Oreochromis niloticus: one gene and its partner. The protein of the gene in region 1 binds, or shares a complex with, the protein of each later gene. Links are inferred from orthologs where the notes say so. Each region holds a gene or a part of one and is shown in the gene's direction. Other genes may lie near its edges. The genes, in order: npr3 and nppc.

Region 1 (16,230 bases):
GCTAGCTAGCACGCAGTACGATTGTAAAAAGTCAGCACAACGAAAATAAACTACACCTAAACTCGGTTTATATCTGACCCAAATAGAGTGCAGTTCATAACTTCTTACCTGAAATTCAGTTCACCTCACGCTCCTGCCTTCGGTTTCCCTGATCCACGATTGACCTACGCGTTAGCAACCACCGGTCGATCGGCGGTCGCCTCGCCGCCTCGTATGTCTCGTTCGCGGCATGTCCTTTCTGTCATACACCGGTGGATAGCTGCCCTCTGTTGTAGCTCCGCGTTATAGCACCACCAAACAACTCAGTTATTTTTTCCACATCCAGCTGTAACTCCGATTCTGTGCGAGCATTTGCGAGAGACCGGGGAGGTGAAACGAGAGAGAGAGTCCCCTCGCTGTCCATTTGCAGCCAAGTGCGGCAGCTAGCTAGGTAGCCGGCTAGCTGTCAGGCAGGACCGACGTCGTCAGAGCACTGTCGCTAATATGGGATGTCTTGATAAAACAAGCAGATATTTGAAGTTTACACACCTACATTCTCGCCTGAAAATATCTTAAAAGTTGATTTTGTGACCTAGAAACACTAATAAAAGACATATAAAACGAAGTGGTGGCCGCCATTGTTTACTCTGCAGAGGCGTGCTATAAATTGTGGGATATGGAGTTTTCGTCCAAGCATAGATCTTTTCGCCTGTACTACTCCGGCTATACCACTAGAGAGAGCCAACACACCACAAATGAAGTCTGTTTCTATGGGGCCAAAAGTAGAATCTTTCTCAGGAGCCTAGAAATTGGCCCAAATTTGCACTAAAATCAAAATATTTCAAAAACTATAAAAGTCATAAACACCAAAAGTCCAGCTCCAGCCGCACAAAATGATCTAACATATGTTACAATTGTGTCAAAACTGTGCGGCAGAGAGGCGCGGGAAAATTTTCACTAAAATATTAATATTTAAAAAACTATAATAGGCATAAACACCAAAAGTCATAGCACACCATTCCAGATCCAGCCGCACAAAATGAGGTAACATATATGAAGCTTGTCTCAAAACTGTGGGGCGAGTTTCGCTGCAAAATTTCAGGCAGAAACTGAAGAATAACTAGAAAAATTTGCATTTCCTGCGAAAATGCTGTGTGGATGCCTTAACGCTGAAACTGTCTGCTGAAAAGCTGAAAAAGATGAAAAGTTGCATGGTGGTGAAAAAAAAATGTCGCCCTGAGCAGGATTCGAACCTGGCCCTCCTGGTCCCAAGCCGGCTATTCATTTCCCTGAGCCAAAGTCATTCTTACAAAGAAGAGGTGGAGAGACGGACAATTCTGCTGAAATTAGCAGAAGCTGCTGAGAATTGTGCTGATAAGAGGTGAAAAGGCTGAAAATTTTTCAGAAAAGAGGTGAATCAGCAGAATTTCTGCAGAAAAGAAGTAAAGAAGCAGAAACTTGGGCTGAAAAGAGATGAATCAGCAGAGTTTCTGCTGAAAAGAGTTTTTTTTTCTGAAACCAGCCAAAAAAGCTGGAATTTGTGCTGAAAAGGGGTGAAAAAAATCAAAATTTTGCTGAAAAGGGGTGAAGAAGCTAAAGTATACCAAATCAAAGTATTTGTGCCAAAACATAGTGTTTCTGCCATATTGTGGTACTACTACATCACAACATGAATAAGGATTAAAGATGAAAGAAACTGGCAACAAATTCCTCCACTACAAACCAGTCTGATACCACTTCTTTGCAGTGTTCACGTTTACTAAGGCACTACCCAAAAGGCGCCACAAGAGGGCACTCCAACACAACAGATGACCTATGTACACTGATGCACTTAGTAACAGTCAGCCTCCTTGAATTGGCAGAAATACTGTGATTAAGTAGTAATACTATAACATAACAGATATACTGTGATGTTGCAGACATAGTATGTTTTTGCATTACTCATTTGTAGTGAAAGAAATTAGCAATATAAATTACAGGTCTGTGATAGTGTATAAATTTGTAGTGAAAAAAAAAATGTTGACTAAGGTGGGATTGAACCCACGACCTTTGAGCTGCAGAGCCATGTCATTACTTATTCTGCTGAAATTAGCAGAAGCTGCTGAGAATTGTGCTGATAAGAGGTGAAAAGGCTGAAAATTTTGCAGAAAAGAGGTGACTCAGCAGAATTTCTGCAGAAAAGAGGGAAAGAAGCAGAACGTTGCGCTGAAAAGAGGTGAATGAGCAGAATTTCTGCTGAAAAGAGGCAGAACAACCTGGTTCTGCTCAAATTCACCAATCAGAGGTACTGCCTCTGTCTGCTTCATCAGGCTGTGTACTTGTATGTATTTCTGCCATGTTAACAAGAATCTTAGGTCTATATTAGAAAAGCTGCTAAAATCATAAAACTTTGCAGAATTGTAATAAATTAGCAAAATAAATTACAGGTCTGTGATAGTGTATAAATTTGTAGTGAAAAACAAAATGTTGAACAAGGTAGGATTGAACCCACGACCTTTGAGCTGCAGAGCCGTGTCATTACTGATTGCGCCACCTGGAAAAGGGGTGGGTGGCTGAAAGACAGAGACTTGACCAGCAGTTGCTGAAAACAACTGAAAAAGCAGAATTATCTGCTAAAAAAGAGGTGTAGACGCGCTTGATGGAGATGGCTTTATGTGTAAGGGTACACTGAAGAGTGTCAAGAAAGGAGAGTGCATGCAAGCAGGGAAGATGTGTAACAACTGTCACAGGTAGGACTCGAACCTCTGCCACCAGGTCTCACAGAAGCTGCTCAACCCTCTGAGCCAAATGAGGTCTGGTCACAAAGGGGGCGGGTGTCTAAAACACAGAGACTTGAGGAGTCAGAATTAGATCGCGGTGAGAGGTGAAAAACGCCGTTTTTTGGAGTTACAAAATGTCGTGTAACTCAAAAACTAGGAGGGCTAGCAGCATAATTCTTGTACTGGGTGAATCAGCGGACTTTGGTGTATTTTGACTGCGATTTTCATAGCTCTTTGTACCTCCGTCGCGGAGATATGACGAGAGAAGAAACGGCTTCATTTCCAGAGTTTGAAGACTGAGAGAAGGACAGATTTCCACCCCTCAAACAAACGTAACTCATTGCTCAACGGTAAGATGACTGTAAAAACTGCTTCCACTGTGAGTGTCAGCAGTGTCTGAAGATATATTGGCACAAGCCTCATGTCCTAACTTTGTTTTGTTAAAGAGATATGACGATTTGAAAATGCCTCTCATTAGAGAATTTCAGCTCTGAATTTTAAAACCTCCCCATAGACTTTGAATGGGGAGTTTTCAGACCTTGTGTCACTTCGAGGCAAATTGCGAAAAAACGGTAAATCTCACAATAAAGATAGTGACATTGCCTGAAAGCCAGCAAAAATACCTACGTTTTGATGTATAATTTGTGGGGGTTGAGTGGAAATTGAGTGAGTAGCAAGAAGTTGTTGGAACATGAAGAGAAAATTCAGAATGGACGAGTGTACACTCTGAGTTAATTGCATAGCAACCATAGCAACGCATGTATTTTCTGAAAAATCACAATTTTGCAACTGAAAACTTAAAGAGGGATAAGATTAAAACGGTAGAAGATCTGAAAAAGCTGAATTATACAGGAATAGGCCAATAATTTGAGAACATTTTAAATTTTGAATGGAGTTTCTAGGTGAAAGTATGAGGAAGTAGTTAAGTTTCAAAACCAAGCAAGTTTTAGCAGAATTGTGGAAGTTTTCCATTCATTTCAATGGGACAAATTAAAGGAAAAAAGTGTAATTTTTAAAAAGTATAATAGTAATAAACACCAAAAGATATAGCTGGAATTAGCAGAAAGAGCAGAACAGTTTAGAGTTTGAACGGAGAAAATCGGCTGAAAACTGAGGGAGTAGTTAAGTGCCGAAAAACGGGGGAGCAACTTGAAGAATAAAGTTTAAAGAGAAACAGGAACTCAATAGTGTGGATGCCTTTGAGGGCATCCACACAACTAAATTAAACCACATGTCAAGGTTGGCTGAAGGAGAACCCAAATGCCAGACTTTTAGAATGGAGAAAGTGTGTTTATTTACAGAGAAAACAGCGCCAACAATCCACAGTGTGTGCTCTCCCAATTCCCCGTGCCGTGATTCCTCTCCGTGATGCGTGGTAGTGCTTCGTCCTCCTCGGTGCCTGTGTTCAACATTGTGCTGCTCCCTCCACACGTTTCTGTAATCACATTGGAAACAAGAGATGCCACAATGAGTACCGTCCCATCCACCGGCCGACTAAACACATTAACCATTCCAACAAGAGAGTAATTGAAACCACAAGCTGTGCACTAACTGTATTTCTAGTTTAACAATCCCGCACCGACTGCTGCTCCACTGCTCTCTTAAGTAGAGCTCCTTGATTAGGTAGATCAGCAACAGGTGAGTGATTATCACAGGTGTGGCTGGCTCCAAGGCAGGGACTCTCCAGGCCCAGTGTGGACAGCAAAAACGTAGACTTTCTAAAACAATGACGCATGTTAGTCATGTGATGCAGTCATGTGACCAATTAAACCAAGATAGCAGAGGGCATTACACAGCAATTGTTTTGTTTGAGCCCTATTAAAGATTAATATCACTCTGTACATGCTCCAGATAGCTTTTCTTCAAATTCTTTAATTCTAACTCGCTTTTGCAACTTTGTACTTTTGTGTTACTCGCAGCAACAACTCCACCTCATTGTTAGTCCATTTCAAAAACTCGGTGCTTTTCCTCGACATTTTGCCGCGATGTTTCAGAGAGCCAGAAAGTAAATACACGGCTGACAGAAATGAGGCAGGTCGAATCTTCTTGCGTTTCACACATGCGCAGGACTGAAACGTAAGCGTTTTCGGCTGTTTCAATGTGGACGCACAACTCTGTGAAAACGACTGAAAACGACAGTGTGGACGCGGAGCGTTTTCCGACGAAAACGCCGTTTTCGGGCTAGTGTGGACGTAGCCTCATACTGTGATGGTACTATATCCTCCCTGCTGTAGGTGTATATCCCAGCAGTTTGAGGCTGAGGCTCAGGCTGTGGGAGACTTCCCATGATGCACTGAGCATTTTTCCCCCACTAACCTCCTTTCAGTACCATTGCCTTTATATGCCAGTGCTGCATGTCGTGTCTACTTTTGGCTACTCTTTCCCATTTAAAAAGGAATTCCTCCAACCCTTCATTGTCAAGTGGGATTGTCTGATCCTTGGAGTTCTCTCTCTGCCACAATACACCCGCAACCAACGCAGGCACATCGAGTACATATGAAACTCCATACAGAAAAACCGGCTGGCTTGAACTAGAGCCCTTCTGTGAGGCAACAGTGTGAAGCAGTGCATCTCTGAACACTGAATTTGAATGTTACAGTAAATCACTTTCTGTCACGGTTCTGGGTCATTTTGACCCAGCTTTCTGTTTCTCATGTTTTGGTGTTTTTCTAGATTATGATTATGTTCTGATTAATCAGTGATACTGTTTTGATTATGATTATTATTTAGTAGGTTTTGGTCAGTGTCTAGTCTGTCTCTCTCTGTCTAGTCCGTGTCTTAGTAAAGTATGTTTTGTTTCCTGTTTTACTTTGAAGGATCATGGTCTTGTGTGATGTCAGTGTGTTCAATTTTACCTCTCCCCTGTCTTGTTAGTCCAATTTCTCCCAGCTGTGTCTCCCTCCTGTTGCCCATTCCCTGATTACTTCCCTGTGTATATAGCCCTGTGTTTTCCTGTGCTCTCTGTCGTGTCGTACCCTCCACTAGCTGTGTGTTTTGCCTCCGTGTTTCCAGTGTTTAGTCTCCAGCTCCTGTTTAGTAGTGATGGGTAGATGAGGGCTCGTGAAGCGTTTCAGCACATTCCCCAAACTGTATCAATACTGTGTCGACACAGTGTTGCTGTTTTGCTCCATACTGACACCTGCTGGACCTTAAATATCATTGCAGGGAACTTACTTGAGACTCACAACAGACACTGATTCAATGACATAGTCATACGTGTATACACTGTAAGGTATTGTACTTTCCATGGAATCATTTTATGTGTTTTACATTGCAAATATTGTAGACATCTATAAAATATATTGTGAATGACATAAAGTAAAAATTAAAATGAAAGTATTGTGAATATAATATTACCCATTTAAATGTAATTGATTCAGAGTTTATTATAAATTTCTATTCAGAAAAATAAGTTTATCCAATGTTTTTGCATTCAGTCTATTGCGGGGGGTTTTCACACCATTTCCCCAGCTTTGGAAAACTCACAGCCACAGATGAAGCTGGGGTACACAAAAGCTGTAAAGTCAGGTGGAAAAGGTTCTGATAAGATGTCTTCCTATTCCCCCAGTACCTTAAAGGATCCTCTAATCTTGGAATGTTTCTCTCCGACACTCTCCACAATACTAAGGGGTTGGCAGTCCTTTATAATAAACTTCAGGACTGCCTGGTCCAGAACAGTCTTCCTAGATGCTTGATTTCAAAATAATAAAACACATATTAATAAAAAAAAAGAAAAGTGTTGATAAAGCTGTTCAGTGTCAATATAGGCCGACCTGTGTTCATTCTCAGTGTGTTTGTCTCCTCATTTTCATGTTTGGCTCTGTAATGCCTCTGTAACACTGAGGAGGTGCTTTTGTTTGTAAGAAAGCTCTGCAGAACAGATGCGACATTTAACCTGCATAAAATGAAATAAATAATTTACACTGCAGGTCACATTGCTGTTTTTCCTATTCTGATAGATTACACTGAAACAAAGACAGACAAACTATTTGCAGTTAAAAGATCAAAATGATCCCACACAGCAGAAACATTTCCATTTTGTTATGGAAAGATGTGTATTTTTATTTATCTTTGCGAGACTCAATTTGTGGGGGGGTTTTGGTGGCGACTCGTTCCGTTGACAGATGCGGATGCGGTACCTTTTAAACACAGCTTGGCACGTTGGTAATGAGCGATACAGCAGCTGTATCGATCACGTGACTTTTTCTTAAAGCGACGCATGCACCGATACAGGCATCGCTAGGTGAGCTTGATACATGCGCCGGTGCGTCAGTGTTGCTGGACCCATCACTACTGTTTAGTATTCCAGTTCCCGTGTTTTATTCCTCCAGGGTTTTTGTTTGTCTTTTGGTGAGTTTAGTTAAGTAAGAGGTTTTTCCCAGCAATAAAGCTGCGCTTTAAGTTGTACTTCCATGTCTGAGTCCTGCATTTTGGATCCACCACTGCTGCTTGCCTGCCTGCCACACAGCCGATCATGACACTTTCTTTAAATTGGCTGCATTTTCAGTGTCCAGGTGTAAGAAATGACCAGCAGAGGGGAGTAAAATCACACACTTCTGTGTGTTAGATACTGTTGCTTCAGTACATCAGTGCTATGACAGCGTGTGAAAAACACGGGAAAGCAAGCTTTAGTTTCTCTTTATCTATTTATCGTGTCCTTAAAGACATTTATGGCCAGACTAATGAAGCAGACAGCTGAGGTCAGGCTGCGTAACTGTGCAATGGATCACTGGCAAAAAGTTCACCTATATACTGTATTTCTATGCCTGTAACCAAAAGTAAATATAACATAAAACATATAAAACAATTAGAATGTGTATCACATGAAATAATTTCAGGAGCATTAGGTAATGTGGGCAGTTAGGACTTGGCCACAACTGATTTTCATGTTCATCCTGAAGGTGTTGGATATTCTTGAAGTCAGTGCAGTCATGCTTATCAACGCACAGCCTGGGAAATCAAATTGGCCGTTTTCTTGCACAATGCACAATGCACTCAGTACTGCATCTGTATAATTCTGATGTCAGAAATGATCAACAACAAAAAGAGCAGAGGCACAGCTGAGCCTACAGGTTCAGCAGGATGTCTGCTCAGACTTCCTTCTCAAAAATAAACATGAATCCAGACGTAAAAGATGAGATTACATGTGCGCTGAGCTGAGCCTAATGACCATAATTTCATAATTTCTCTAGGCAGTGGTCTAATTGGTGTAATTTGTACAATAAATAAAGATGTGCAGAATTATTCTTTACATTCTGTAAAATGCTTTCCACATCATTTTCCATGTAATGATTTTAAATGTTACAAAATCTGTGGAAAACATCAGCACTAACGTCAGCAGACTGCAGTCTGAATGCCAGCAAACAAAAGGTGTCTTTAGACAGCGTCAGTAGGAGGGTCATTAGTGACACATGTTAATGAGCCATGATAAGTGCAGAGGTTATGAGCTGAAGCTTTTTTGTTTGCTTTGTTTATTCATTCACAGGAGTCGCTCACTCTGTTCGTTTGGATCTCTCTGCTGTTTGTGTTCTTAGTACAGGCCGTGAACTCCATCACTGTGCACACACTTGTTCTATCTGTCTACTGTTTTATTTACAATTTATCTGTTTCATACGGCTTCACCACGGCTGCGGTTATTCTTCAACACAGACTGATATCTGTCTGGCAGCTTTCTTTTAATTCCTCCAAGCAGTCTTCAGGAATAGTTTTCGAGGCTTCTTGAAGGACGTTCAAAGCTTTTCTATCAAGATGATCCCACACCTATTCAATGATTTTGAGATCTGGACTCCGGGGAGGCCAGTCTGTTACTGATAATGTTGTGTTGTGTGTTTTCTATCTTGGTATGCAGTTACTGCATTGGTAGCATCTTTGGGATCATTGTCCAATCAGAGACTTTGAAACACAGCCCCAAACCACGACCGAGCCTCCACTGTTTTCCAAAGATGACTGTAGACCAGGGGGTCCCCAATCCCAGTCCGCGAGGGCCGGTGTCCCTGCAGGTTTTAGATCTCACCCTGGGTCAACACACCTGAATCACATGATTAGTTCATTACCAGGCCTCTGGAGAACTTCAAGACATGCTGAGGAGGTCATTTATCCATTTAAATCAGCTGTGTTGGATCAAGGACACATCTAGAACCTGCAGGGACACCGGCCCTCGTGGACTGGGATTGGGGACCCATGCTGTAGACCAGGGGTGTCGAACTCCAGGCCTCAAGGGCCGGTGTCCTGCAGGTTTTAGATCTCACCCTGGGCCAACACACCTGAATCAAATTATTAGTTTATTACCAGGCCTCTGCAGAACATCAAGACATGTTTAGGAGGTCATTTAGCCATTTAAATCAGCTGTGTTGGATCAAGGATACATCTAAAACCTGCAGGACACTGGCCCTTGAGGCCTGGAATTCGACACCTGTGCTGTAGACCCTCACTTGTGGTACCTCCATCCTGAGCTCCTCTGAACATACTGATGGCGATTTGGATCCAAAAAGGCTAATCTGGATTCTCCACTCCATACGGCCTTCCAGTGATTTTTTAACATTTATTTTTATTTGATTAGCATTCAAATATCTCAATGAATACAGAATTAAGATCTACCACAAAGCAAGAAAGCATGAGACAAAGCTAATCACATGCGTATTACGCCAAGCCTTTAAACAAAAGATCATTTAGTGTGCAGCTCGTGTACACAGGGCTTGAAGCAAAAGAGCAAAACAAACAAACAAAAAACAAAACATAAAACCTTCCACCTTAGATAAGTAAATACATTAAATTAAATTTCATAACAATAATCAAAGCAAAACAACCAAGAGTTTCAGTATTATTATTATTGCTCATTTCATTCTTGAAACTCTAGTTTTAAACATGTTTTTAAACAAGGAAAATGAAGTACACCTTTTTTAAATCACTGTCATAACTATTCCACACATTAACCCCTCTGACAGAAACACATCTCTGCTTTATGTTTGTCCTTTTCTTGTTTTTTCTTGTTCTGGAGTAATTTGGCAAACCTCAGCCTTTCCTCCCTGTTTCCTTAAGAATGGCTTCTTGACAACAACGCTTTCACTGGGAGCATTTCTGATGATGCCTCAGTGACATTAGATGGATCCACTGGAGGGTCAGATGCATCTCTCAGGTCCTGTGTCAGATCTTTGCTGGGTTTCTTCCTGTTTCTCACGGACATGACTTGTAATTTGTCGTTTATACTGTTGTTTATGGTGTACAGTGTTTTTGCAAGAGGCTTGTCAGCAGTGTAAGCATGCACTGCTGAGCTTAAAATGATTTCTTTGCCAGTTCACTGCCAACATTTAAAAAATAAAGAACTTAGGGCTTCATTTAAATCGTTTGTATACCATCAACATCAAAATTTTAATTTTTGGTCACATTTTTCCACCAGTCTTTCGACTTATTTGCTACTAATGCTGAAAATGTCTGTACAGAAATCTTGGTTACTGCAGAGTCCATGCACACCTGCAGTTTGACCCTGTCTAAATAAATGATCTATAGCTGTGTTACAGATGGTTAGAGCTTGATCAACAAGAAATAAAGAGCCGTCATCTGCATTAACTGGAGCGCATTAAGTCGTGCTACGTTGAAGTGGCTCATTGTGCGCTCGGGAGCGGTGTAGCTTTAAGAAGGAGGTGGGCAGCGCTCCGATGACGCATGAATAATCCTGAAAAGATGCTTCTAAACTCCAGGCCGGAGCCAGCGTGTATGATGGCTGTTGACTGAGCTGGAAGAATTTCCGAGCCTGGCACGATCAACTGTTGAGAAAATAGTTTGAACAGGTTCAGAAGCTTGGGAAGCGACTCTAAATGCAGAATAAAACACACCCATTCTGGCAGATTGGCTTCTCCCAAAGACAAATACAGTTATTTACTATTAAGGCATTTACTAACGACAGAGGGCTTTCTGTTTGCAGCTCTATGTGCGCTGCCGAGAGCCAACTTGAGGGAAGGAACATTGGAAGAATATTTCTCTAAAAGTCTTTTGCTGTCTGTCTTGAAGAGGAAGTGCTACCATGCCACATTTGAGAACACTATGTGTCTATTTCTTGGTAGCCCTGAGCCCAGTTATGACAAACACCATCACCGAGGACATAGATGTTTTGGTATTTTTGCCACAAAATAATTCTTATCTTTTTTCATATGAACGAGTCGCACCAGCGATCCATTACGCACAAAAGAGACTGAAGGCGGACGGGGGTCAGTACTCTGGGTTCAACTTCAACATCCAGTTTGAAAACTCCGACTGCCTCTATGATGCTTTCTTCACATTAGCGGACAGGTCTTGCGGACAGAAGCCCGACCTGATCCTGGGTCCTGTGTGCGAGTACGAGGCTGCGGCAGTGGTAAGGCTGGCGTCCCACTGGAACATCCCGGTGATCTCGGCAGGTGCCCTCGCCACGGGTTTCGCGAACAAGAACAAAGAATACTCCCACCTGACTCGCATCGCCCCGTCCTACGTGAAAATGGCAGAGACTTTCACGGCGATGTTTGAACACTTCACCTGGAAGAGCGCTCTGCTGGTCTTCGAGGACGACCGGGAGCAGCGGAACTGTTACTTCACGTTAGAAGGAGTATACCATCTGATGAGTAACTATAACATCGAAAGCTATGTGTTAACTGAAGACAAACCCCTGGACACGGACGAGCTCCTGCGAAGCATCAATGACATGGGAGGTAAAGCAGCTTTCCTTAGTCACTTTAAAGCGTCTCCCTTAATTAGACGGTGTCTGAAATAAGTCTTGACTTTAGGTCACTGGATTTGGCTGACAGCTAACCATCATTCATAGCTTGGTGTAGACTACATATTGTTTGTGTTCTGTTTCAGTTGATGAAACAAATGAGCCCTACACTGATGTGCCCTTCACAACCCTGTATTTATCTGACATATCAGTTTGTACATGCACTTCATAGTCCTCCACTAAAGCAGATTTCAGGTAATTAAACAATCATAATGGGCTAAATTAGGCACTGCCAGAAAATGTAAGTACAAGTATATACCTGCACTGTCACACAAATTCACAGTCTGTACATTAACAACTATCCAAGTTTCAGCTTCAGCAGTCTGAATTAGGTCAGTCTTGTAATCTTCTCCTCCACAGCCTTTCAGTACACGCAATAAATGGCATTATTACCAAAACCAGCACAATCTGTTCAGGCACAGGGATTAACTGACAGTTCATTGAATCAACTAAATGTTTTATCAGACACAATAAGCAACCTGAAGCTGTGAGAGATGTTTCCTCTTATTCCCTATTCTGTCCTGTTCTCTTACCACACGATTCACATAACAAAAGGCAGAGTGAAAAAGCATTTTCACTTTTTTTGCACATTTCTCAAACTTTCATGTTTCAGATCATCAAACAAATTTAATATTAGACAAATTTAAAATGCAGTTTTTACATGATGATTTAAATAACCCACCTGGTCCTGTGAAAAAAAAGAGTAATTGCCCCCATTTGTTAAATCATGAGTCACGTGATTAACCACATCATTTTTGGAGAGCTGGGTTTAATTTCCTTAGCCACACCCCTTTAATGTCAAAGCCTGTGATTCAACAATAAGAAAGAGACGGCGAAGCGGCATCGATGGGCGATTTCCAGGAGAAACGCCGGCTCATCTCACATGGGCCAAAACACGATGTTTGATTATTTGGGGGGAAATGGTCTATGGACATCGCTGCTGATGTAAAACTAAGACAGCATTTCATAACAGGAACATCACACCAACAGTTCAACATGGTGGTGGTGGTGTGATGGTCGGGGGTTGCTTTGCTGCTTCAGGATCTGGATATAATTAGTGGAACCATGAATTCTAGGACAATGTCAGTTTGCTCACTCATGTTCTGCAGCAGGACACACAGAGTGTCTTCCTCTGAATAGTTTTTAAAAAACAGGTTTTTTAGTGGCCTATTCAAAGTCCACACTCAAATCTGATATGTTTAATCTTACAGTGAAACCATTATTAAAAACCAATCATGTTATCTTATTAAAATTTGTTTCATCTGAATCATGTGTGATAAATATGCAAAAAACTAAGGAATCAGAAAGAGGTCGAATACTTTTGCATGGCACTATCTACAGTAGATAATATAATTTAACATCTATAATAATGAATCCAATTATAATCCCAGATTTTTAAAAACCTCTGGTGTTTTTAGAAAATTAAGATGAATACAGAAGGAAGCCGTCCTGTAACTGAGAGAAACCCTGTCAGATATAACTCTGCTGCTTCTGCAGTGATTCCTCACAGCTCTGAAAACATTAATAAATACTTTAAAAAGCAGTGATTTTTCAGCCCGTTCCTCTTCAGACCCAAGCAAACATCCCTCGTGTAGCACAAGCTATCACTGGTGATAGGCATGTGTGTATTTGTTTGGCCTCACCCCACCCACTGCCTCCATTGCTTAGACAGACTTACATAACATCCTGCATGCTGTCTGCATGGTTCATCATCTCGTGTCTAAAGGTTTTGTTGCTTCTCACTTGACAATCTGGACTCCTTCTCTCCAGGAACATTTCCAACTCACCTGGAACCACAGCAGCCAACCAGCATCATGTATGCTGTCACGTCTACATGATTGCTCTGTTTCAGTGCTCATCACTATGTCACACAGCTTCTTCTCTGCGAGCGTGTCCAGAGGTGTTTTTGCATGGAGCCATTAAAATCAAAACTCCACTTGAAAGTAAAGAAGCCAAGACCATTTAAACCAGTGGGATTACTGTTGGTAAATAAAGCATGGTAATGACATGCAGCAAATCACAGGGCCACCCAGCAATCCAGCCAGGGACTCACTCAACACATTTGAACATGTGGTATGTGCTTAAAGCGCGAGGCTAAAACACTGATTAGCAGCTTGTTGGCACCGCTGCTGTGGTCATGACAGCCCCTGAGGAAGTGGCACCGTATCAGAGTAGCGGCTGTGCCGGTGTCCTAAAAAGTTGCCTGTGATAAACTTTAAATGGTGACGAGAGACTAAGTGCACTTGATAGCAAGAAATTAGTTTGAGATATTTTATGGGATTCAACAACCGAGCAGTGGGCAGAGCTGAACCCTCCTCCATGTTTCATATACGGCTACACAAAAATATCAATAACCAATGTGAACACAGCAGGTTTTTCTAAGAAATGTAAATCTTTACTTTCCTAACTAGCTTCCAGTGAGAGGCATCACGTCTGATGATGCTGTGACAGCTCTCAGCTTTTTTCCCCTCTGGCACTCAGTTGCTTCTCTCATCTGTTATGATGTCACGTTTGTAGGACATGATCAGCTTTTACACAAAACTCTGTATGAAGAGTCCAGAAGACCAGAAATGCCCACAAACATACTCTAATCATAAAGTGCAACACTGTATGGACTGTTGCATATTACACAACTTGTTCAAGATGAACAACTAATTGAGTGTAAAACAACTGCCAACATGATTTTATAAATGGTGTTGTTGGCCCGTCACTCAGAGACAGCACAGCGTTACAGCCTGCAAAGCAACTATTGTACTGGGAAATATCACCACGGCTGGAAGGGCCCAAACAATCCAGAGTGGTGTCCTGGCACCAACATGAACAGGTCAACTTGATAATAATTACATATTATTAGTTATTTTTTGTGTGCTGTATGGTGTTGCTTTCATCTGACAGCACAGAGATGCTTGATCAGCAATAAGGAAATAATGACGTCTGTGGTTAATAGCAAGTTATTACTGCTAAAACAGAAATAATGTCCAAATATCTTGCATAAACAGTAGGGATGGGACTCAGTTTTGCAGAGAGCTGAGTCACAGTAGTTCAGTTCGGGTGAATAGTTAGTCTGCTTATCAGTGTGACATGCACTCAAGCTACAATCAGCTGATTTCAGTCTGCGTGTTGCAGTCTACAGCATGGATATGGACATTACTTTTACTACATAAAATGATGAGAGCGCAACGTTAAAGTGCAAGCTGCATCCATCTACACAGATGGCATGCTAATGCTAAGCTAGCCATAAACCCAAAGTGATGTTAGAGTGGGCGAATGCTGACCCTAGCAGCCAGAGCCTGAACTTCAACAGGTAACAAACAGGTAAGCAGTTGGACTGCAGCCTCTGTTTCTACCTGTTCATGTTTCTAAGGTAGAGTCACTGTGGTGATAAAGTTTGTTCTGGTTTTCATCTTTGCTTTGTGTTTTCATCTTTGTGTTCGTTCATACCTAAATACTGAGAGAAAGATCATATTAGGACAGGGCTTTGTGTGGGACTGGAGACTTGGGTTTAAATGTGTTTCAGGTCATCTCATGGCGAAATGCAACACTAATATAACAAGTAGCATAATGAATTATTTTCTCCTGGTAGTAATTAAGTAACACACTGGATTACTTTTAAGAACAGTGTTGTGTAATGTGTGTAACACATGACGACCCCAGCACTGATCACAACTGACAGGGGAGATACAACAAACACAGACATTTGACCACATTGCATCCAATGGTAAATGGACTGATTCTTATATAGCACTTTTCGACTCTCCCGGAGTACTCAAAGCGCTCTATACAACATGCCTCATTCACCCAATCACACAAGCACTTCTAAACTCAAGTGCAACTAATAAGCATTCACACACATTCACACTCCGATGGACGCATCGGAGGACAATTTGGGGTTAGTATCTTGCCCAAGGATATTTGGCATGCAGACTGGAGGAGCCAGGAATCGAACCACCAACCTTCCAATCAGTAGCTGATCTGCTCTACCACCTTAGCTACAGCCACCCATGTGCACAAATGTCATGTCATTAATATGCTGCTTAGTGGTGACTCTAAGAGTGAAGTCAATGACAATCAATGAGAGGATCATTCAGTAATAGGAACTCCTTAATAATAATAATGTAGTATAGGTTGCCGTTTTATAATAACAGAGCAGGGAGAATACTAACAGGAACTAAAACGAGAGCTCATATTTCGCCCATATGAGCTTCTCTTTACTGACTTACTGAGTCTCGAATTAAATTTAAAATCCTTCTCCATCCAGTGTCAAGTCCTGAATGATCAGGTCAGTGATATCTTAAAGACCTCATATAGAGCTGGGTGATAGAACGATAACGATATGTATTGCGAAATAACTTTTTCTCGATAGAAAAATGTAACTATTGCGATAGGCCTCATCTCTCTTGTCCTCTTAAAAAAAAAGAAAAAAGAACGGCCAATCAAAATTAAGTAGCGCAGAGCCGAACCAATCACAGCCGCAGTGTCACATCACGTGACTTGTTACATACAGCACAAGCGCCAAGGCGCACATGTGTATTTGTTTTTGCAGCCGTGCAGCCCGGGTAATGAAGGAAATGAGTTTGCCGACTAGAGAAAAATGAACCGAGAGCGTGAGCGAAGGTTACCGAAGAAAAAACAGATGATGGTTCCAATTCTGGAGAGATTGTCAAACGGAAGGGCCACAGAAGTTCCGTAGTGTGAAGGTATACAATAAAGCGGTGCATGCTCAATCTCTGACTGAAAGCGCTAATT
Region 2 (16,241 bases), on another chromosome or scaffold:
TGTATTAAGCTGCAGCCCTTCAATAAGGTGGCCTCTCTTTGTCCTGTGACAGCTGGGATAGGCTCGAGCCCCACCTGTGACCCTGATAAGCAGTTCTGAAAATGAATGGATGGTGTGGTGCAGCTGAGCACTGCAGCAACATGTTCTGTTGGGTTAAGAAAAAAAACCCCGCTGTTAATGCTTTAAAAACCATATTCCTCATGACTCACTACAAGTTTTAAAAGCAATCACTAATAAATGAGATATTGGGGAAATATTGGTCTCGAATAAAAAAAATTAATTAGGGAAACAGTGTTTTTGTGCAGTGGCATTTGTCTGGCAATAGGCAAGTCCATTTACAGTCAAGCAAAAAAATTGTAACGTCGAGCCAAGATTATATATCTGTTTTAAAATGCCCTGTTTCCATGTGGTTTTGTCGCAGCTTGTGCAACCCAAACCCCAAACACGTATTTTTCCACATGGTTTGAAAAAGTGACACACCAGAGCTTTGAAATAACATGTCCGCCACCAAGTATGTGTGGTAATGCTGTGAACACTGGAATAAATGCTTCTCAAACAGCCTGTATATTATTCACTTTCATGGTTTTAATGGTAATAGTAACCTTGGCGATGGCATTAATAATAATAAGGGGATTATAAAACGTGAATAATTATTGAATTATGATTGTAGCCACTTATAACACGATGCCATGAGCATTTACATCTTTCCACGCTGAAATCATTGGCTCAGTATCTGGCCATGTTAGCAATTTGTGCTTGTCCATTTACAGACTTTTCAACGACTAAACACAAACCCAGTAAATTAAAAGCCAGACACCATCTTTTGTGGTCCAGAAAACAAAAATCTGGGTAAGAATAGCTTTTGACCTAAGAGCATTTTCATATGTTCTGTCTTCTTGCCTCCAGATTGGAATGTTTTTCTGACTGAGGCAATATGCCATGAGAGCAAAAAATTACACACAGTATTTTTGGCACACAACTTAAATATACGAATAGTAGGCCAAATGGCTGGCAGCGTCATTCTGTTACAAGAGCTGCACTATTTCTGCATTTAAACCTTCACAAGGAACTTGACCTGTGTCTCTTTGGAATGCTTGGAATTGAGCGAAAATCTAAATTATAATGCCACAGTGGCTCCCCTGTGATATCATGAGATGCTAAATCTGAATCTGAAGTGACTGAAATTTTTTCCCCTTTTAGTCACCTCAATGTCTGCTCAAAACTCATCAGTATATTTTGGTTATGGAATTGCAATAAAGTAAAAGCACAAGTGCATGCTTTGGAATAGGCAATAAAACTCTATTGTTCATATGACTGTATTCCACTTGTGGTTTCTTTATGCCTTGTGTTTGGCTTCATGCATGAACAGCATTACACAATATGATGGAGGGCTTCCACCATTCTCAGGAAAACTCATCTCACATGCTGTGACACCTGCATTAGCTTACAAAAAGTTTGCTTTTAGTTGGGACATATAATGTTGCATGTGATGTGACTGCTAAGGGTGCATTTTTACATTTTTATTTAGGTTATAAGTTTTCCACAAAAATATCAGGACTAAAAAAATATTCCATGCAGCAAATTCACCTGATCCAGCCGCAAATATAAGTTTTATCAAACAAAAGAGTTTCAAGCTTAAAGTACAGTGTGGCTCTGTCGGCTGAACCCAAACTGGGAGTTGGTTCCAAAGCACAGAGGTCTAACAGCTGATATCACCACCTTCCACTGTACTTTTCAAAAGTAAAGCCCTTTTACTCAGATTCTCTACCGGGATAGTGTCGTTACGTGCTATAAGGTCTTCAGGCTATGATGATTTGGATGCCATGTCATCTGCCGGTGAAGGTGGAGGTTGGTCAGCTGTCATCTAGGAGTACTTCATGCTTCCATCTGCTGACAAGCTTTAATGGAGATGCTGACTTCCTTTTCCAGCAGAAATCATCACCTGCCCACAGTGCCAATACTACCAAATGCTTGGCTGATCATGCTACTACTATGACTGACCAGCCAGCCAATCCATGCGACCCAAACCCCACAGACTGTCAAGAAGAAGACAATAAATACCTGACCTAAAAAATACAGACAAACTGAAGGCTAAGAAAGCAACCTGATCACCTGCATGCCTCGCCGCACTGATGGAGTATTTTGCATATTAGTAATATAGTTTTGAGTATATAAATTAACACACTTTTGATCATTACAGATGTACATTTTTACTCTAATCATTTGAGAAACTGGATTTCTGATTTACTTGTACTGAAGTACAAAAATGTACTTTTTCACAGTATTCAGGTATTTATGATGATGCACTAGTGAGTGTGTTCCACAGTAAAACAAGTGTTAACATTTCTGAAATTATTACATACCCCTATAATATCAAAAAACATCAAGCCAGGAGACAGGAGACCCTACCTCCTGAAAAACGAGTTCATTCCAAAACGTGTGTTTACACAGTCATCTTACGCATTTTGTGTACATTAGTCAAGTAGCTCTGTGTTGCCAATAAAGGCAAGCGTGTTTGTTGGCACATGCAAAAGGCTTCAGAGCACTTGTGTAAAAAGCATTAAAATTCCACACGCAATAAAACCGTTATTTATAGGACCATAACAGCCTTGTAGTTTGTCTTACACAAACCCAGAGGAGGAATCAAGACACTCAACCCTCCCATAGACACTCAGTGCAAAGGCTACTGCAACACATGGTCTCTCCATACGTTTGCATAGCTTCCTGGTGCAAGTAAGTTAGGCTGCTTCATTTTCATTCAGCCACATCAAAGCTTAAAAATTTACTGAAAATTGAGCGGATAAGAGTTTGCGGGAAAGGCAGGGAGAAAAAGGGGGAAGTACAAAAGGACATAGCAAAATAGGTGCTCTCAGTAACCCGTGTGATGTCATTGGGAAAAGTGTGTAACATTGTTAAACTGTACAAAAAAAGGCAAACTTGTGACACAACACTTGCGACATGAAGAAAGAATGTGTCATTCACTTGTTAAAATTCAAAATAAAGGGATTAGCAATCAGTGAAAAATGTTTTGCGAAACCCAAAGATGTCATCATGGACACAAGGTCAGCAGAGTTCAGCTGCTCTGTATTGCTGTTGTAAAAGCGGATTAGTAAAATGGTTTTCCATGCAATTGAACATCTTTACTGCAGTTACCTTGGAGTGTGAATGGCCTTTTTAGCAGCAGTAGCTGCTAAAAACATATTTTTATTGAAGCACCACTCGCATATAAGTATGCTATCACATATGCAATGTGATGTGATGCACGTGTGTTGATTAGTTTCAGCTTAAATTATTTTTTGCACTAAAGAGTAACATGCTTCAATATAAATGCCATCAACACTGTGAAAAAAACTAAAACAAAAAAAAACTAGTAATAAAAGTTCAGATGTAACAGTGTGACTCATGTCAGAAAAGTACATCCTGTTGATGATTTAAAAAGCCTACTTTATTTCAACATTTTTTTTATAAGAAAGGAACAACCTTCAAATCTTTTAGTTTGTTTTGGGACTACATGAGTACAAATGTTTTGACGACAAATTTCATCTACATTTTTTCCTGTTACTCTTACTAACTTATTTAATTCAACATGGACCAGCAGTAAAACAGGTTGTGGGCAGGGTGCAAGGGGTGACCTGTGATGGCACAGGTTTTCCTGATACAGGAGGACCTGGCAGTGGCCTTCAGGGGTGGTGTTAATAACCCTCTACACAGCCTTCCTGTTCTCAGGTGTGGGCCCTGCCTACCAAATACCCAGGCAGTAGGTGAGCACACTTTCCACTGAGGAGCAGTAGAAGGCTATCAGCAGCTTCTGGTCTGGGTTATTCTTCCTCAGGACAGAGGAAGTGCAGCCGCTGCTGGACCTTCTTTACCAGGGCGCTGGTGTTGTGGGCCTAGGCGAGATCGGCGGAGAGGTGGGTGCCCAGAAACCTGAAGGTGGAGACAGATCCCATCCGTTCTCTGTTTATAATAAGAGGGGAGTGGACTAATGTGTACCTCCTGAAGTCCATTATGGGCGCTTTTGTTTTAAGGATGTTCAGCTTCAGGTTATTTTGTTTATGTATAAGTTGTATAATTCTAATGTTTTATTTGGGAACAGAATGGTGTGTATGTGTAAGTTTGGTGATGGAGTTTTTATTATGAATGAATGATGAATTTTTATGAATTATTATGTCTATGTTTTTATGTTTAAGGACAACAGATGGAAATTAGCCCTTGGCTATAATCTGGTATTTTTACATTCATGTAATTTTTTTTACATTTATGTTCATTAACATGCACTGTCCTAAATAAATAAATTAAATTAAATTTTTGGAGTCACAGGTGTGCAGGGCGTTCAGTAGTGGGCTGAGAACACAGCCCTGTGGGGATCCAGTGCTGGAGAGAGGTAGGGCCAAGTTGGGCTGATTGAGGCAAAATTAAGAGCTATTTATCATCACCACAGCTTACCTTACTCCGGCAGATTTTATTACTGTCATTTCAGAAAGTAAATATAATGTCAGCACAGGAGGTTTTGGTTAAAATTGAAGATGACTTTAAAGAAAACCTTACCAGGGAATCAGTGAAAATATCACAGTCAGATCACCCTCGAGCACAGTACATTAGATTAAACTCATGAGTCATTTATCCATATATTTGTATTGGATCATTTGTGTTATGATTTTTTTTCTGTGAAAAATAAAGTTATCGCAAAACTAAGAACACCCTGTAATTTTAATAACTTGTAGAACCGCCTTCAGTAACAATAACTTAAGGAACAGAAGTTTTCTGTATGTCTTTATCAGCCTTTTACATTTTTGTGGAAGTGTTTTTGTCTAGCTCTTACAACATTACATTAGTTCGTTTAGGTTTTTTGGGATTCATTTATGCACAGGTCTCTTAAGGTCTCGCTGCAGCATCTCAATCAGGTTGAGGTCTGGATTTTGACCATGGCAAAGTCCAAACCTCAACCTGATTCCTTTCTTTTTGAGCCATTCTGTTATAGATTTGCTGCTGTGCTTGGGATCATTGTCCTGTTCCAAACCCTAATTTGGCCCAAGCCTTAGCTGTCAAACAGATGGCATCACTTTGGATTAGAACACTTTGGTATACAGAGGAGTTCAACTCTAATGACTCCAAGGTGCCCAACTCCTGTGGCTGCAAAACAAGCCCAAATCATCACCCCTTCACCACCATGCTTGACAGTTGGTATAAGGTTTTTGTGTTGATATGCTGTGTGCTGCCAAGTGTGATGCTGTGCATTATGGTCAGACATCTGCACTCTGGTCTCATCTGTCCAAAAGACATTGTTCCTGAAGTCTTGTGGTTTGTTCAGATGCAACTTTGCAAACCTAAGCTGTGCTGGCATGTGCTTTTTAGACAGAAGTTTTCTCCCATCAGCTCTTCCAAACTTGTTTCTACTCTTTTTCTAATTGTACTATCGTGAACTTGAAGTCTGCAAAGTCCGATATTTAGCTCTTGTTTTTTAATTTTTATTTATTTTTTTGCACTGCTCCGACTTCAGAGTGCTATAAAAACTTTCATTATATTTTTCTTTTTATAGCTTTATATAGCCAAAACAAGTCCATTACTTTCATTTCAAGCAATTAAGAGAACTTCTGCATGTAGTGACAGTGATGAGTGTAGTAAGTTTGTTAGATTGAAGGAAAATTGACATTGTAATGCTTTGTCCTGTCTTTGAAGAGAAGCAAAGTCTGGATGCATGTTGCTCTGTTATAACATCATATATCACTGGCCAGTCATCTTGTTCATCTGTTCAGTTTATCAATGTCTCTGTTTTATGAGTTTATAGGGCAAAACCATTTACTTTATATGCTTTATCAAAGTAACGTTGTCTAATTATACACACAGTATTTTATTAAGCCTTCATAGTCATAATCTTTAATATACACCATAAGTGATTATTATTATTAACGATCATTTTTTATGGTGTGCAACCAAAAAGAAAGCAGAGTATTCAGCAAAGGCTGAAACATGGACACCTAATAATGACACTGCTGCTGGCTGCCATCCAAACATCATTTTTGCTGCTTGATTCAATGCAAATTCAACACACGTTCTGATTGACATTTTATGGCAGGTAGGCCAGCACTGCTACAATAAATATGATATATGTTCTGCAAAAAAATGCAGGTATACACTTTCCATATGCCAAACCTGCTCTAAAAAGCCTTTATAGGACTTTCAAATCCTGACGATCTGCTGATTAATGACTTAGTTTTACAGTATAGTATTGATCCACTAACATGTGACTTTGAGGGGTATTCGCTTTTCGGCATAGCAAATACTGCCACTCTGTGTTCCAAAACAGATGGTGCTGCCTGAGCTTTCTGCTCCACTATGTGGGGCCTCGACTACTCCAGAAACACTCCACACTGCAAAAAGTATATTTTTTTTTTCACAAGGGTTTTGGTATTGTCTCAAAATGTGCGCATATTCTTTAAATAGGTAAATTATTCCCAGTGGGGTGACTTTTCAGCTTAAACTTCCCTTGACAACATGCCGTTTAAGTTGTATAGTGATTGATTGCAACTTATTTTAAAACATTTTTAGATCATCATCATTTTAACTGCATATCACAAATTAATAGTGACAGTTCTATGCATATCTTAAAGCAGGTCAAGCGGCATATGTAACCAACCGTGGGTGAGCTTACGAGTGTTAGGCAACTATACATCAATGTCAGGCAGTACCAAAAAACGCTTCTTTATAGTTGAACTTTCTTGGTTTACACTGTTTAAAACACGTATGGTCAAACTTTTAGATTTAACATGGAACTACTCTCTCAACCCTGACAGTGAAGCAACTCATGCATGTGTCACACTTCTACAGAAGGGTCACTCTCTCACAGAGTTCCTTTTTTTAAAATCCTGAGCATCAGAAACTTTTCTTGGACACTTCCAAGGTGTTTCCACCGTATTCCCAGCCCCTATAGCCAGCTCCTTTATTCAGTTCTGGCTAACCAGTCATTACTGGTTGACATAAAACAGGTGCAGCAGTGCTGGACACTAAATTAAAAACTCTGGTTTTCTGCCAAAAGTAGACAAACCTGGTGCAAATTGCTTAAATACAACTACATTCATTTATATGTTAAAAAAAAATAATCCCCAGCTGCAGATTAAAGCTAGATTTTTTATACATTTTAGTGCTACAGTAATTTTTTCCGGTAAGACTTACTTGTAACACTTTAAACATGAAAAAGCATTCATTTATTGATATGATGTATAGAAGAATATAGCTTGAGAGTGCTCTTTGTTGATTGGCATTCTCTAAACCAGTAAGAGGGGTTGAAAGGCTACGAGTCATAAAGGCTTTTTCTTACACCAGATTTTATACCGACACCCATTCAACTGTTCTTCTCTGGACTTGTGGTAAAGTAACATAGTCTGTATGAAAACCCATCGTCACTCATTGGTTGAAGTCAGCGGCTAATGCCAATTCTTAAGCCTAAAGTAAGTATAGACATATAGACTTCTGTACAGTTTCACTCATTTGTGCAGAGTCACCCTCCTCCTGGTTTATAGAAGTATCGCTGGTTTAATATCCTGCATATTGACTGCACTCTGCAGACTCACAGGCTAAAATTTAAGAAAGCAGCAGCTTTTCTTAGTGACATGCCAACTTTGATTCAAGAACAGTATAACACCATAAATTATGGCTGGACACTGGTGTGGTAATCATTGCTTAGGGTTCATGTCTGTGCTTCTGTATGGTGCTTGGACACTGTACAGTTATGCTACTGAACAGTCAGCCTCCTTTCTGTGTTGGAGGTGACTGTCTAAACAGCTCCACACATCCAGTGTGTGTCGGAGTAGCCACAGTAGTTCTGAGATTCTTCTCTGTAAGTGGGCTACCTGATCTAAAGACAGAAAACAAACTGTAAGATACCCATGAAACACAAAACCATCTAATTAAAAGGTTTATGGGGAACTGCCATTTACATCCAGACACATGACATGACTTATAATGAGTGTCTCTGTTTTTTTATGAATCAGCATGAACCGTCTGAAGTTTTTTCGGTGTGAATCCCCCTTAGCTGATGTCATGCTCTGATGTAAATAACGTCGAGCAGATGACTTAAACTGGGTTGTTTAATAATTCCATCTCTGTATGTTTGCATTCTTCTGTATAATAATAATAATAATAATAATAATAATAACAATAATAATAATAATAATAATAATAATAATAATAATAATAATAAAGTTTTACCCTTTAAATAAATAAATGAAAAACGCGGGGCTTGAGTGGCGCAGTAACACATCACATTATTTCTGGTAAAATTCCGCTTGGTGCCTTCCAAAAAAGTGATTAGATGAAGAAAATCACATTTGAATTTCTGGAAGGTATCTAAAAAATGACCTAATTCCTTTAATTCCAGTAGCAGACTCTGAATTTTCGCTTCGTTAAAGAAAACAGGATATGTCATCCACGCGCAGCATATTGTATGTCTTTTTAAGATGTTCCGCAGGACAGGCGGTTGGCATCCTAGAATTCATTTCACTGCCAAAGTCGCTCTTCAGCTCTTGACGCGCAGCCTTTGAAACCACCTTTGGTTTCAGCTGTTGCATCTCAGCCAGAGGTCTAAAAGCTTAAAGTCTGTGCCTTTTGATAGCTTATAGCCTATATCATTTTCTCTAACACCGCGATGACCGGAGCTTGTATCATTTAATTAATCCCTGGCGTGACGTGCTTAGAGGCAGGTACAAAAAACAGTGAATAGGCGAGGAAGGAGAACCATTACGCAGGTTTTCATGACATCACCATGGGCTGGCTATAAAGCGGCGAGGATTAATACACAGAGTTAGAGAAGCACTTGAGGAGCTTTGGAGTAAAAAACGGACTCTCCTTGTGTTTAGAAGCTGATTGGCTGAAGCTAACGTCCTTCGATCTGAACTGCAGCGCAGAGGAATCCCCGAACAACTGCTAGACTTGTCAAAATGAACTTGTCATACTTTGTAGCATGTGGACTTATGGTCACCTTACTTTCAGTGAGGATGGGGGCAAAACCTTTAACTCAAGCGCAGCAGAAGGTAAGAAAAAGTCACTTGTATTGTTATTACTGACTAGGAGAACCTTTTGATTGGTTTGGACTAAAGCTGCTGGAAGCTGAATACTGAATAAGCAGCTGATCTGTGGCACAGGTCCTCCAGGACAGTAGCTTTGCGCATCATATTTCACAATTTGGTTCTTGTTAAGCTGTTGGGGAAAATCTGTCTTTTTCCACACTCGGAGTGTAACACCCCTGTCCACTTGCACTTTATTTACAAACAGACGGCATGTTCAGTGACATGCAACCGAAACAGCCGGTGAAAGTTTGTTTCCGAGCATCCCTTTGATATTTTTAGACTTTAAATCGCCCCAATGCGATTTTTTAAATGAAACCACATATGGGGAAAACATTAAAATTCTTGCTTTACAATAACTCTGAAAAGCGATTATACTGACTATCAACATCATTTTTGGAATTTTATGTATTTATTAATTGTTGTCAAAATAAGATTCACCAAACCAAAACAAAATTGTGCGTAAAATCGCAATTACGCATAGAATTGGCCCGAATGAATAAAGCTGACCCTTTAAAAAATACTCGTTTGAAATAATGTTGTAATTATTTGCTAAACTCACTAAAATTTGGGAATGTTGGAGGTCTTCGTTACAGTCTACTTTACGAACAGATAAGTAAGCTACACGCACCTGTTTTAAGTTTGTTTATTTTTTTCTTCACTTTGAGAGCGAGGTGTCAGAGTAGGTAACTTAATAAAACAGAAGTACTGCACCCTCTCGGGATGTTCCCTTCTTCAGGGGTTTCCTTCGAGGTTTGAACCTCATGACTGGAGCGTCTCGTGGATCTTTCCCAAAGTTGTTTTTGGTTAGATGATACAAGTTAATGAATTTTTGAGTGCCGTGCTGTGAGAAAAATGCCAACGCGTTTTCCCCCCTGGCCATTACGTTTGTGAAAGCGTTAGAATATATGCCAAGCTGAGGTTTACCTCAAACATTTAGCATATAATGACTGCTCTGCTGAAACGGGCACAAACCATAGATTTCACTTTCATCAAAAGCATTTGTCTTTGCACAATTTATTTGCCTGAGGGAGAGATTGTTTATTTATTTTCTTATCTTTCAGTCTCTTAGAAGTTTGCTGGGCGAGGAGCTGGCGGAGTTTCTGGAGTCGGAGGAGAGGGAGAGACGGCTCGACGCTGTGCGCACTCGGATACGCTTACTGCGCGATTTACGGGTGGACACCCGGCCCAGAGGCATGTTGGCTCGTCTCCTCAACGATCAACCCCCAAACAGGAAACACAAATCGGGAAGCAAGAAGGCTGGCTCCTCGTCACGGAGTGGCTGCTTCGGACACAAGATGGACAGGATAGGCACCATCAGCGGCATGGGATGCTAGGGCTGGAGCAGCGCTGCAATGAATGGTGAGTGGTCGCTCATATCAGTCCCACTTTAACATTATGCAACACTAACTGCAGCCACAAACAGTGACATGTAAACAGAGCCCAGAATGAACAGGGTGAAATGAAATGAAAGAATAAATGCTGAAAGACAAGACGGAGACGAATTACAATCAGGGATTTAAAAAAAGAATGGCCTGGTTAATAAAATGGGCATAATAATTTATTTTTTAATATTTTATTTATTATAATTTCATGTTGGTATTCCTCACGTTAAAAGGATGATTTTACAGGATTATCTGTCATATACCTAAGACACATGTATTTATGCAGCATTGCATGGTTCAGCTACATGGAAAATATTGTGGTTCACTAACTGCCTTTGACATAGAAATATTCAATCTAGGGAAATAATCAAGCCTTAACCTTGTAGCATTACCTCCTAGGACAGGATAGTCTTAGGATAGTTTAAGTGGATAGCCCACTTAAGCTGATGTATGGGAAAGAAACCAGTGAGCATTTAGGAAGTCCACTCTTGTATCTGTGCACATCATCATGAATGATCCCATCTGCTTCTATAACACAAGAACAATATATCACATTTAAGAAAAAGGGCAGGGAGATATCGAGGACGGAAGTGGGGTTGCAGAGACACATTCACGCACATATTTGGTTGTCAAGATCTTTCTTGGAAACGCATTTGTTTCACTAAGTGTTTTTAACATAAACTGAAAAGGGGGCTGTGTGGGTTAATTAAGGATTGGGGAATCTAAGTGACACACGATTAGTCCTGAGGCTTCACACCTTTTTTCGATTTTATGGTAAACTCTGAAATCCGTATGGGGGAGTGTTAGTGACTAACAATGGGTGAGTGTGTTTTTCATTGGTTAACACCATACGGGTGAGTTAATCTGAAGTAAAGTGGTTAGATGAGAAGTGAGTTAATGAGTAAAGAACCAACAAGTAAATTTGGAGATTCCCTGACTGATACACGTATTACGTTAAGAAAAGAGCGAATAAATGAACATGTGTTCATTAGGCTGACCTTGAAAGACTAACCTTTTGCTTTTGTTTTCCTCTCTTTTTCTAGATCTCTGGACGATGTGTTTGTTTGGATGACAAAAGTTGAGTTTGTTCTTACCAGAAGGGGAAAATATAGAAAAACTCATCATGATTGTTCTTTGGTACGAAAGTCACCATGACCAGCATAAACAAAGACTTGGATGACAATACTACAAAATCCTAATATAGATCTATATATATATATACAATAAATATGCAGGTATATATACATATATACAGTACATATATGTATACCATACAACATGGTCAACAGATACAAACACAGATGCGTAGTACAACATGGCGGACAATGGTGTAAAAACTACATACCGCAAAGCTGTATATTGTTGCTGCTGCTGCTGCTGTACATTCATGTACTTCATCTTTCCCTGCATAAATGTATTTATGTTTAAAATCTATTTATATGTTTATAAAAAAAAGAGATATTTATAAATATGAATTTTATTTATGTAACATTTTGGAAATGGATGCAAACTGTAGGTCAATTCTGTTTGTTGCCTTTTTTTTCCCATTTGTCTCAAATAGTTGTAAATGTTTTCAAAAACGATAAAACGGACATTCCATGTGCACTTACATCTTTGATCTCGGTGTCTTTGTGTGTTCCGTGAAACTAGTCAATTCTAGTTGGTGAGCATTTTCTGCCTGGCTTCTGGAGGTTTTGTCAGAAGAGAAACAACGACTGCCCTGCTGTTAGATGGAGCGCCATTCATTTTTATTCAGTTCAATTCAGTTTCATTTCTATGGCGCCAATTCACAAGAAACAGTGACCTCGAAGCGGTTTATGTTGTAAAGACCCTACAATATTAGAAAGAAAAGAAAAACCAAGCAATCATTCGACCCCCTCTTGTTGATGGTGGGAAGAAAAAACTCACTTTTAATAGGAAGAAACCTCCAGAACCAGGCTCAGGGAGGGGCAGCCATCTGCTGTAGCCGGTTGGGTTGATGTTACAAAAGGCACACTTTGGTACAGAGAGCCAGAGTTTAACATTTACTAAAGATTTTATGCTGCTTGGATTTTGAAAAAGTGTTTCAAACATTAGCAAATATCTGAAACTCTGTGTTATCAGATAAAATGTTTATATGAAACAATAAGGATTTGTTGAGTGCTGCATCTATACTGCTGCATTCAACCTAGCATGATCTACCCACACTGTTGAAAGCTCTTGCACAAATTTGCTGCACAAATAGAAGAAAACACTGAAAATTTACATTTTGACTTAAAGCGATCTTTAGAATTCAGGCAATAACACTGTAATCCCAAACCACTAATTAAAAAGATGATAGAAAGCCACTTCCTCCTAATGTTCCTCTAATTCTGTTGCACATTACATCCAGTTACCAGTTGGTAAATTTAAGAGCGATATTATTTAAAATAAGCAGTAAATTCACCTTAAAATTATCCATCCATCCATTCTCTTATGCTTCTCCAATTCATCATGGGGAGGGGGGAGTAAATGGTAAATGGTAAATGGCCTGTATTTATATAGCACCTTACTAGTCCCTAAGGACCCCAAAGCGCTTTACATATCCAGTCATTCACCCATTCACGCACACATTCACACACTGGTGATGGCAAGCTACGTTGTAGCCACAGCCACCCTGGGGCGCACTGACAGAGGCGAGGCTGCCGGACACTGGCGCCACCGGGCCCTCTGACCACCACCAGTAGGCAACGGGTGAAGTGTCTTGCCCAAGGACACAACGACCGAGACTGTCCAAGCTGGGGCTCGAACCGGCAACCTTCCGATTACAAGGCGAACTCCCAACTCTTGAGCCACGATCGCAGGATGTACCGTAGGGTACATCCTGCACAGACAGCCAAACTGTTGCAGGAATAACATACTTTAACATTATATAAAGATGATATATAAGCAAAATGGCTTTTTTATCTCGTAGTTTCCAAACTAAAAGGCTTAAAACAAGACAAGCATATAGAGAAAAGGCCATATACGCGCGATATTAAAAAGGAAAACAAACACACCCAGATTATAATAAAGAAGCATAAAAAAGATAACAAATCGTGCTCAGTTGTGAAACTCTAAAAAGGTCCATTGCTCAAAGATTTCATGGTGTAATTACACAAAAGGGGGTGAGAGCCAGAAAAATACAGAGAGAACACTTTACAAGCTAATTAATACAGTAAAGTCAATGTAAAAGTCTTTTCAAGGATTTCCTTTCTAATACCATGAAACATGATATTTACGGTGTGAGTGTTGTGAATGTGTGCTGACTTTGAGGTTGATACCGATTTGCAAACTGGAGAGAAGTACAACTGACAGAAGCAAACCGAGAGTGCACGTGTACTGTGAAAACACATTTGTAATTATAAATTAGATGTGCTTGTCTCTTTTTTGTGAACCTATATTATTGACTGTAGGATGGTCAAATTCATAGTAACACAACTTTAAACACACACACATACAAAACAGGCCCTGAGGCTGTTGATCGGCTGGGGTTATCCCACAAAACCATTTCTAGGGTTTATAGAGAAGTTTCTAAAAAAAAAAAACATCCAGTGAGCAGCAGTTCTCTAGATGAAAATGTCTTCTTGATTACAAAGGATCAAGGCAGAATTGGAGACTGTTTTGAGCTGACAGGAAGGCAACAGTACCTCCAATAAACATTTGTTACAACTAAGGTATGCAGAAGAGCATGCACAACATGTTGAACCTTGAAGAAGATGTGCCACAGCAGCAGAAGACCGCAAAAGCTGCCACTCTTGTCAGGTAAGAACAGGAAACTGAGGCTATAGTTCACACAGGCTCAACAAAAATGGACAATGGCAGACTGAAAAAATGTAAACTGGTCTGATCGGTCATCATTTGGATGGTAGGATCAAAATCTGGCATGCAAGCATGCATCCATCCTACTTTGTATCAGTGATTCAGCTTGATGCACTGGTGAGAGGGATATTTTCTTGGCACACTTTGGGCCCCTTGTGTCCACCTGTGTATTGTTGCTGACCATGTGCATCCCTTTATGACCATCTTCTGAAGAATGCTTCTAAGAGGATAACGAGTCACAAAGCTCAAATCACCCAAATCTGTTTTTCTCAACATGAGTTCATTGTATTGAGAAAGCCTGTGCATTCACCAAATCTCAGCCCAGTAGAACACATTTGGGATGTGATGGATTGGAAAATTCACATCATGGATGTGATGCTGACAAACTGCAACAACTGTGTGACGCTATCGTGTCAATATGGACCAAAATCTCTGAAGAGTGTTTCCAGCACCTTGTTGAATCTATATCATGAACAATTAAAAGCAAAAAGGGCTCCGGTCCAACCTTGTAGTGGAAAGACATAACTAATGAAGTGGCATTGATGCAGAGGGATTGAATCTTCCCATTTCCTGAACATAGGGAGCCAGGGATACCCCTTCATGGAAAACATTACTAAGAAATAAAATGAAAGGGCTGTAAAGACAATGGGAAATTCTGTGCATCTTTCCTTTGTGATTTTGTATTCTTTTAGTACCATATCACCCCATTAGGGCTCTTCGCTCTCAGACTGCTGGTTTACTTGTTGTTCCTAGAGTATTTAAAGGTAGAATGGGAGGCAGAGCCTTCAGCTTTCAGGCCCTTCTTCAGCTTCCAATTTGGATTTGGAAGACAGACACTATCTCTACTTTTAAGATTAGGCTTAAAACTTTCCATTTGATAAAGCATATCAGGTGAATCAGGTGACCCTGAATCCTCCCTTAGTTATGCTGCAATAGGTGTAGGCTCCTGGGGGATTCCCATGATGCACTGAATGTTTCTTCTTCAGTCACCTTTTTCACTCACTGTGTTTAAACACATCTTTGTATTCAATTATCATTAATCTCTGGCTCTTTTCCACATCATGTCTTTGTCCTGTCTTCATCCATTTACCTTCAACCGGTCGCAGCAGATTGGTGCCCCTCCTTGAGCATTGTTCTACTGGGGGTTTCTTCCTGATAAAAGCTAGTTTTTCCTTCCCACTGTTGCCAAAGCGCTTGCTCATAGGGGGTCATATGATTGTTGCTGAAAGACAGCAGTGAATAATTGGACAAGAGTCAGAGTGACAGGAGGGTTTTTGCAAAGAGGCATACCTGTTCATTCTGCAAATTCAGCATAGACACTGCTGTGTAGTTGTATGTACCTTTGTTAACTCAATATGGCAATTTCAGTAGCTCTTTTTCTTTTGTTGTTGTTGTTTTTTTGTTTTGTTTTTTACACAAAAACAGTTTTTTCAGTTATACTGATATGCTTTAAAACCACCAACAGTGGGACGACTGTAATAACAGTCAACTACAGTTGTGATCACAAGTCCAGAATGTCACAGCAAGACTAAGAAAAGGGGGAAAAGTTGGACAGAATGCAACATTTTGTACAGGTAGACAGGTAGAACAATGGCTACTCTGTGAGCTTTCTGACTACAAAAGATATTGAAGTTCGAGAGAATGGTTAGATTATCATTATTTTCATTATTATCATTATTATTACAAAGAAGAAGGGACCAATAAAGTTACATTATCTTTCTCAAATCAAAGGTAGCTGTAATTCACTGAGACTAGTCTGTAAGACCGAGTGATGTTAAATGCAATGCTGCCTCTGTGTGGTGTTGAGGGTTAATTACTCAAACGTGCTCTTCATGTTGCCCTGGGAATCAGCCGGCTGGCTCCAGGATTCAATTGTGCAACAGAAAAACAATGTATGAATATTTACATTTAAAATTATCTACAATGTAAAAGTGGTAACTTAATGGCGATTAAAAAGAGGTTCATTCACTGCAGA

The links.
Region 2: the proteins of npr3 (region 1) and nppc are in contact, whole or in part, in a crystal structure (PDB 1JDP), measured with the Homo sapiens proteins. The link is inferred for Oreochromis niloticus from reciprocal best matches to the Homo sapiens genes NPR3 and NPPC. Residues at the interface, in NP_001191304.1 of Homo sapiens: Asn110, Tyr138, Ala141, Pro142, Arg145, Ala161, Gly163, Phe164, His166, Glu170, Tyr171, Tyr204, Lys208, Leu209, Arg211, Tyr214, Phe215, Leu217, Glu218, His221, Glu222, Gln225, Ile233; in NP_077720.1 of Homo sapiens: Gly109, Cys110, Phe111, Gly112, Leu113, Lys114, Leu115, Asp116, Arg117, Ile118, Gly119, Ser120, Met121, Ser122, Gly123, Leu124, Gly125, Cys126.

What each region holds. Positions count from the first base shown.
Region 1 is NC_031977.2:300,192-316,421, reverse strand, and holds the start of npr3 (atrial natriuretic peptide receptor 3), read left to right. Parts: upstream 1-9,324; 5' UTR 9,325-10,758; coding exon 10,759-11,419; intron 11,420-16,230. UniProt on the Homo sapiens protein: Receptor for the natriuretic peptide hormones, binding with similar affinities atrial natriuretic peptide NPPA/ANP, brain natriuretic peptide NPPB/BNP, and C-type natriuretic peptide NPPC/CNP.
Region 2 is NC_031980.2:34,350,912-34,367,152, forward strand, and holds nppc (C-type natriuretic peptide), read left to right. Parts: upstream 1-8,517; 5' UTR 8,518-8,936; coding exon 8,937-9,029; intron 9,030-10,126; coding exon 10,127-10,399; 3' UTR 10,400-10,424; intron 10,425-11,490; 3' UTR 11,491-12,056; downstream 12,057-16,241.